Regions from separate parts of the Mus musculus genome. Here region 1 is reported to be linked to region 2. Evidence: microRNA targets listed by miRTarBase, many of them from high-throughput screens and not tested one by one. Region 2 holds a microRNA gene; the other region holds the end of a gene's coding sequence.

Region 1 (4,536 bases), not on the chromosome of region 2:
GTGTTAGTGCCAGGAAAAACGACAGAACAGAGGGGCATCATCCAGTCCTGCTGACAGGAGGAGAGGAGGGAAGTGGCCGTAAGAGCAGTAGACCCAAATGCAGACCAAGAAGGTAAAAGGAACAAGAGATCAGCAATGGTCCCGCCGTGCTCACAAAGATCCAGGAATCGGAGGTCTCCAGACTACAGAAGCTCCAGTCCTTTCAGTAATTAGGGGTAAAATAAGTAGACGCTCACATGTAAAAGGATGAAACTAGACTCTCCCACTACATATCATATATGTAAAACTAACTCAGACTGGAGCAGAACTCATTGTAACAACTAAACTTTAATCATGTTCCTAAGAGGGACCAGGAGAGATGGTTCAGGGGTTAGGAGCATTGGCTTCTCTTCCAAAGGACCAAGCTTCAATTCCCAGCACCCACATGGCAGCTCACACCTGCTTGCAACTCCAGTTCCAGAAGATCTAACACCCTTACAAGGATCTGTGTGTATGTGTGCATATACATATATATATATATATATATATATACACACACACACACAACCACACATACTATACCAATGTGCAAAATACCAATGCACATAAAATAAAAATAAACAGCGTTTTTAATTCTAAGGAGAAAACACAGATTTTCCTGAGTTTGCATTAGGTCATGGTTTCTTAGTATCCACATCAAAACTACAATCAGCAGAAGGTAACTCAGGCATCACACACATTAAAATAATGATGACAATTGTTTCTGAGACTGGGTCTTACTATGTAGGTTGGGCTGGCCTCGGGAGCCTCAGCTGAGTACTGGGAGTGCTGGTTCATACTACTAAGCACAACCAATTTAGAAACATGTACACCCCAAGGAGCATCAACCATTAAGAGGGTGAAGACAGCCTACAGAATGGAGCAGAATGGAGAAAAACTGATGAAGGATTTTCATCAACAACTTGTACAATTCAATGAAGAGAGCCCAATTTAAAAACAGGCAAGACATAACCAGACATTTTCCCAAAGATATACAAATGGCCAATCAATGTGAAGAGACATTGAACATCATTAGCCAGAGACATGCATGACACCAGCAGGATATTGTAATAAAAGACAGGTCACCACTAGGGAGGTGGCTCAGCTGGTAGAGAGAGCTCTTGCCTAGCAAGCACAAAGCCCTGGATTTTGTCCCAGCACCGCATACATTAGGTGTGGAGGTACTTTTCTATGTTGTTAGCATTTAAGAAGCAGAGTCAGGAAGATCAGAAGTTCAATTTTCCTCTTCTACTTAGTGACTTCGAGGCCAGGCTGGACTATACGGAAGAAGAAGGGGGAGGGAGAGAGGACAGGCGGGCAAGAATGAGAAATCACAGCAAATGTTGATGAGGAGGTGGAGAAACTAGAACCATCCTCCATTGCTGGTGGTAATACAAACACGTGTAGCTGCGTGGGAAACACTGGGCAGTTTCTCAAACCGGTGAAAAGTTACCTTATGAGCTGTCCATTCTACCAGGCACATTCCCAAAATGAAACCCTGTCCACAGAAAGCCTGTGCCAATATATTCACGACACCAACATCTCAATAAAGCTGTCAACCCCACCCACATGTCTCAAAAGACAAGGAACTGAGAGCTCATCTTTCCTGTGAGAGTAGTTTTTCTGCCTGTAAAATAATATTTGCCAAAACCTTTGGCAAATCTTTGAGCTTAGAAGTAACTCACTATGGCTTGAGGATTAGGAAAGAGTTGAAGCACTGGGTGGGCATAATAAAGATGAATTAAGTCTACCATAGCTACTGATCCTCAAATTCCCCCAGAGTTAAGAAAGGTGAACAAGCCAGGCAGTGGTGGCACATTCCTTTAATCCCAGCACTTGGGAGGCCGAGGCAGGCGGATTTCGAGGCCAGCTTGGTCTACAGAGTGAGTTCCAGGATAGCCAGGGCTAACAAAGAAACCCTGTCTTGAAAAAAACAAAACAAACAAAAAAAGTGAACAATTCAACCATGCCAACAAAGACAAAGCACCTATCTATATACCTATGATAGAATCTTAAATGAGCAATGAAAAAAACACCATACTACCCCTGGGCCACTTGGCAAACAGCAGTGGTTAGCTGAGGTTGTCTGAAAAAGAGAATTCAGTAAGTACCTCCTGCTGTAGCGCTGGGATGGTGCCCAGGGCCTCATACTTGCCAGGGAGGGATCTACTGAGACATACCCCAACCCAAATGTCTAGAATGGATGGTCAAGGCCACTGGATAACAGAATCTTCACCTCTTAGTACTCTTTGCTCAACAGAAATGAGAATACACAGTAGTGGTCCATGAGGAATCATTCTGTCCTCACCTCTCTTCCCTGGTGAGGAAGTCACATGTCATCTCCTAGTCCATAGCATCTCTAACTAGAAAATGTGGGAGGTCACATGGGCAAAATGTGTGGCTTGAATGAGAAATGTATCCCATGGGCTTATGTATTTGAACACGTGGTCCCAGTTGGTGATGTAGTCTGCTGAGGTTATGGGGCTTTTAGAGGATGCAGTCTTGCTGGAGGAAGTAAGTCACTGGGGTTGGTGGTCCTTGAAGGCTTGTACCATTTCCTGCTCTTGCTCTTTCTCTCTGTGCTGCTTCCTACGTGTATGAAAATGAGATCAGCTAGCTTTCTGTTTGGCACCTTCCTCACCATAATATCCACCATAATCCCTACAAAACTCTAAGCCAAAACAAGCCCTTTCTTTATCAAGTTGCCTTTGTCAGAGTATCTTATCACAGCAACAGAAAAGGAACTAATACACAATGAGAGGTCACATAGGTACACTGTGCCATCTACCATGTCAATGCAGAGACTCTGGGCTTGAATGTAGCAGATCCTTAGAGACAAGGCGACTGAGAAAGAAATGGAAGGCACAAATAAATAGCTCCAGTCTTATCAAGTCATCCAAGAACAGGAGAGACATGGCTACCAGGGTCCTGAGAAAGGAAGTCAGTATTAGGAGGAGAACTGTGTGTGGAGCCCTTGTGAGATTGGCAGAGCTAGCCATGAAGCCAGTGACTCAAGAAAAAGAAGCAGGAATCAGGGTGACATAAGAGAGGAGACAGGAAGGACCAATACATCAAAGGACCCTCCAACTGCAGGGCTCAGAGTTTAAGAGATGCACATCCCCACTATCTGCCCAGGAAACAGAACAAGAAACTTAAAAACCTAAAAGCCAAGAGGAAAGGAGAAGGGAACCGCTGGCTTTCTTCTGTACACCAGACTTTGTGTCCATGGTTGTCTGTAGCTTTCCTGGTCTGGGTAGAGTCCCTCCTAGTCTGAGCTTGTCAGGTGAGACAGCAGCTGACAGTGGTGCACCTTTCACAGCCAGGGATCCATGGGGCAGGGGACAGGTGCAGGCGCTGCTGCTCAGAGTCCACACTTCAGGATGATGTGGTAGCCATCATTGCTTTCTGCTGCAAGAGAAACACTGGGCATGGGCATGCGTCACAGGTACAGAGTTGGTACAGTGTGATTTGGGTGTCCCAAAAGGCATGTATTAAGTCAGAGGCAAAAATCACTCAAATGACTTCATAAGGAAGAGTCTGTTTACAGAAGCAGGGCTTTCTACACAGGTTTTGGCATCTGTTTACACAATTACTGTGTGTGTGTGTGTGTGTGTGTGTGTGCATATACTTGTGCAGAGGCCAAAAGGTATCATTCCTTAGGAGTTTTTCCACCCTGTGTTTTGAGACAGTCTCTCATCGGTCTAGAGCTCACCAAGTAAGCTAGGCTGGCTGACCAGTGAGCCTGTCTCTGTCTCACCAGGCTAGGATGGATCACAAGCACATACCACCAATGCCCAGCTTTAAAACAAAACCAAACAACAATAACAAAACATGGGTTCTGGAGACTGAGCTAGAGGCTTCCTGCTTGCATGGCAAGCACTATATTGACTGAATGATCTTCCCAGGCACTCTGGTTTGGACAAAGAGCCTTTTCACCATAGATAGCCCTAGGCTCAAGGAGGAGGCTTTAGGCAAACTATGGCTTTCTGCAATTGTTTGTGCTATATTTAGGATCTTAAGGCCCATGTTGTAAAAGGTTTAGTCACCAGCTTATGCTAGCGAATGATGATGGGAGCTTTAAGGGGTGGAGCCAAGTGGGAGAAAATGACATCAGCCCTTGGAGGGAACACTGAGCCTTGGCCCTCCTCTCCCTTCACTTTCCAGCTGTCTTGAAGGTAACAGAGCAGCTCACCACACTCACACCTTCGTGTGCTGCCTTGCCAAAGGGCCAAATGCAACAGGGCTAACTGGCCATGGCTGAAACCTCCCAAACTGAGCCCAAATAACCAACCTCACACATTGTCACAGTAACAAAAAGCTAACACACACAGCCTAGGTCCCCAGAACAGGGTGGGAGTTGGTCTTAGAACAGCCTGAACCCAGTCTCCTGATCTTTAAGACTTATTTTACCTTTAATTTTGTGTGTGTGTGTGTATATGTGTGTGTACACTTGTGTGTGTGTGTGTGTGTGTGTGTGTGTGTGTGTGTGTGTGTGTCTGTCTGTCTGTCTGTCTGTCT
Region 2 (3,652 bases):
GATGACTACCATGTGTGTTTGTGTGCACATGTATGTGTCCATATGTGTGTGTATATGTGTATGTATGTATGTATATATATATATATATATACACATATATATATATATATATATATGCATGTTCATATACCCACATTTACATGCACACGTACCTATACACATATACACATACACGGGGACAATCACAGAAATTCCAGGCTGTTCTCTAACTCATCATGAAGTTAAACATGAATTTGAACTCCATATTCTCCTCCCTCTGGCAACAATATTCACCTCCTAACTGAGACATAGTTCTGGCCATTCCTGTGAGTATGTGTGCATACAGCTATGTGCATATTCATGTAGAGAAGTGAATATGCACACAGCTATACACACATGCACATTCTTGGAGGGCATCACATGAATCGCATGCTGATCTCTACTCATCATGAATTAAATATGATTTTGAACTCCTCATCCTCCTGACTCTGGCAAGAGTACTCACCTCCTAACTGAGCCATAGCTCTGGCCCAGTACTGCATAAGCTCTAAAGCTCTAAGTCACATACCATTCAAAAGGATATATGAGTGGCATTCCTGTGCGTGCATGCGTGTATATGCATATTCATATAGAGAAGTGAATATGCACACAACTATACACACATGCACATTCTTGATGGACATCACATGAGTCGCATGCTGAACTCTAACTCATCATGAAGTTAAACATGAATTTGTACTCCAGGACCACCTGACTCTGGCAAGGGATTTCACCTGCTGAGTGAGACCTCTCCCTATTCAGTACTGCAGAATCTTAAAACTCTTAGTCACACGTCATTCAAATGGATCGATGAGTTGCATTCATGTTTGTGTGTCTGTGTACATGTCTATGCGTGTGTAGATATGTATATTCATATACACAATCCACACACAGGTACACGCATGTACACATACATGGGGGCATCACATGAATCCCAGGCAGATTTCTAAGTCATCATGAAATAAAGCATGAATTTGACCTCCTGACCTCCTGATTCTAACAAGCATTTTTAATATGATGGGTGATAACTCTCCCTGACCTAGTCACACATAATCTCCAAAGCTCTCAGTCACATAGATTGATGAGTGAGTGCCATTCCTGTGTGTCTATGTGCTCATATGTGTCTTATGTGTGCATGTATGTATATCATATTCACACATGTACATGTACACACACATCAACACATACACACATACATAGGGGCAATCACATGAATGCCAGGATGACCTCTAACTCATCATGCCTTTACCATGACCTTGAACTCCTGATTATCTTGACTCTGGCAAGGGTCTTTACTTGGTGAGTGAATCCTCTCCCTGGCCCAGTCATACAGAATCTCTAAGACTCTAAGACACATATCATTCAAATAGATCGATGAGTGGCAGTTTTGGGTTTGTGTGCATGCTTGTATGGGTATGTGCGTATGTATATGTATACTCATATACACACATGCACATGCACACATACATATACACACAGGCACATACACTGGGGGCATCACATGAATCAGAAGCTGATCCCGGACTCAACATGAAGTTGAGAATGAATTTCGACTCCTGATCCTCCTGACTCTGGCAAGATTTCCACCTTGTGAGTGAGAGCACTCACTGGCCCAGTACTACATAATCTCTAAAACTCTAAGTCACATATCATTCAAATGAATAAATGAGTGTCGTGTGTGTGTGTGTGTGTGTGTGTTGCGTGCGTGTGTATGTGTGTGTGTATGTATACATATATTCATATACACACATGCACATGCACACACACGTAAACACACATGCACATACATGAGGGGCATAACATGAATGTCTGGATGATCACTAACTGAAATTGAGCATGAATATGAACTCCTGATCCTCCTGACTCTGTCAACAACTTTCACCTGGTGAGTGAGACCGTTCATTGACACACTACTGCATAATCTATAAGACTCTAAGTCACATATCATTCAAATGGATCAATGAGTGCCATTCCTGTGTTTATGTTTATGTTTTTGTGTTTCCGTGCATGCGTGTGTATATGGGTGTGTATGTATATGTATATTCATATAGACACATATACATGCACACACAAGTATACACACATGCACATATATAGGGGGCATCACATGAATCCAGGATGATCTCTTACTCCTCATGAAGTTAAGCATGATTTTCAACTCCTATACCTCCTGACTCTAACAAGGGTTTTCACCAGGTGTGTGAGAATTGACACTGGCCCTGTCATACATAATCTCCAAAGGTCTAAGTCACATATCATTAAAATGCATCGATGAGTACCATTCCTACATGTATGTTTGCATGTGTGTGTATATGTGTGTATGTATATGTATATTCACATAAACACATGTACATGCATACACTTCTGCACACATGCACATAAACGGGGGACATCACATGAATCCCAGACTGATTGCTACCTCATCATGAATTTAATATGAATTTGAACTCCTCATCCTCCTGACTCTGGCAAGAGTACTTAACCTCCTAACTGAGACATAGCTCTTGATCAGTACTGCATAAGCTCTAAAGTTCTAAGTCACATACCATTCAAAAGGATATATGAGTGCCATTCCTGTGTGTGCTTGCGTGTATGTGCATATTCATATAGAGAAGTGAATATGCACACAGCTATACACACATGCACATTCTTGTTGGGCATCACATGAATCGCATGATGAACTCTAACTCATCATGAAGTTAAACATGAATTTGAACTCCAGATCCTCCAGACTCTGGCAAGCGTTTCACCTCCTAACTGAGACATAGCTCTGGATCACTACCGCATAAGCGCTAAAGCTCTATGGCACATATCATTTCAAAGGATATATGAGTGGCATTACTGTGTGTGCATGTGTGTATATGCATATTCATATAGAGAAGTGAATATGCACACAACTCTAACACATGCACATTCTTGGTGTGCATCACATCAATTGCATACTGATCTCTAAATCGTTGTGAAATTAAGCATGAATTTGAACTCCTGATCCTCCTGACTCTGGCAAGTGTTTCACCTAGTGAGTGAGACTTCTCCTTGACCCATTTATACATAGCTCTAAAACATTAAGTTACATATCATTCAAATGGATAGATGAGTATCAATTTTGAGTTTGTGTGTGTGTGTGTGTATTTGTGTGTGTCTCTGTGTGTGTGCATGTTGTGTTGGTTAGTTTATATGTGTATATTTATATGCATATATTAACATGCACACATACATATATGCACACATGCACATACATAAGAAACATCCCAGTCTGATTTCTATCTCTTCATGAAGTAAATTTTGTATTTGAACTCTCTCTTCACCTGACTCTGGCAAGTGTTTTTACCTTATGAGTGAGACTATTACTGACCCAGTACTACATAATATTTAAAGCTCTAAATTATATATCATACAAATGGATCAATGAGTGCCATTCATGTGTGTGTGTGTCCATGCATGCATGTATGTTTGTGTGTATGTATATGTATATTCATATACACATATACACATGAACACACTTATGTATACACATATGCACATTCAAGGGGAGACATCACATGAATCCAGGCTGATCCCAAATTCTTCATGAAGTTAAACATGAATTTGAACTCCAGATACTGATGACTCTGGCAAGGGTTTTTACCTGGTG

Evidence for each region. Region 2 holds the annotated microRNA mmu-miR-466f-3p (CAUACACACACACAUACACAC, at 1,724-1,744, opposite strand). A microRNA usually pairs through its seed, bases 2 to 8, with sites in the 3' UTR of a target mRNA and lowers its output. Matches are read on the target gene's strand: a 7mer-m8 pairs with bases 2 to 8, a 7mer-A1 pairs with bases 2 to 7 and ends in A, and an 8mer does both.
Region 1: the mRNA of Tfcp2l1 is a reported target of mmu-miR-466f-3p. Seed matches in the 3' UTR shown: 7mer-m8 at 2,766-2,772, 7mer-m8 at 2,287-2,293 and 8mer at 528-535.

The regions. Positions count from the first base shown.
Region 1 is chr1:118,676,278-118,680,813 of GRCm38, reverse strand. Tfcp2l1 (transcription factor CP2-like 1) reads right to left here. Exons shown (of 15, transcript NM_023755.2): 15 at 1-3,426. The coding sequence ends at 3,380. Among named protein-coding and RNA genes, the nearest start is that of Tfcp2l1, 51 kb to the right of the region's middle.
Region 2 is chr2:10,470,099-10,473,750 of GRCm38, reverse strand. Mir466f-3 (microRNA 466f-3) reads right to left here and starts at 1,798; the gene lies at 1,705-1,798. The region is part of intron 10 of Sfmbt2 (Scm-like with four mbt domains 2); the gene reads right to left. It overlaps Mir669d-2 (microRNA 669d-2), which reads right to left and starts at 2,107; the gene lies at 2,022-2,107. Mir297a-2 (microRNA 297a-2) reads right to left here and starts at 1,497; the gene lies at 1,408-1,497. It also overlaps Mir466o.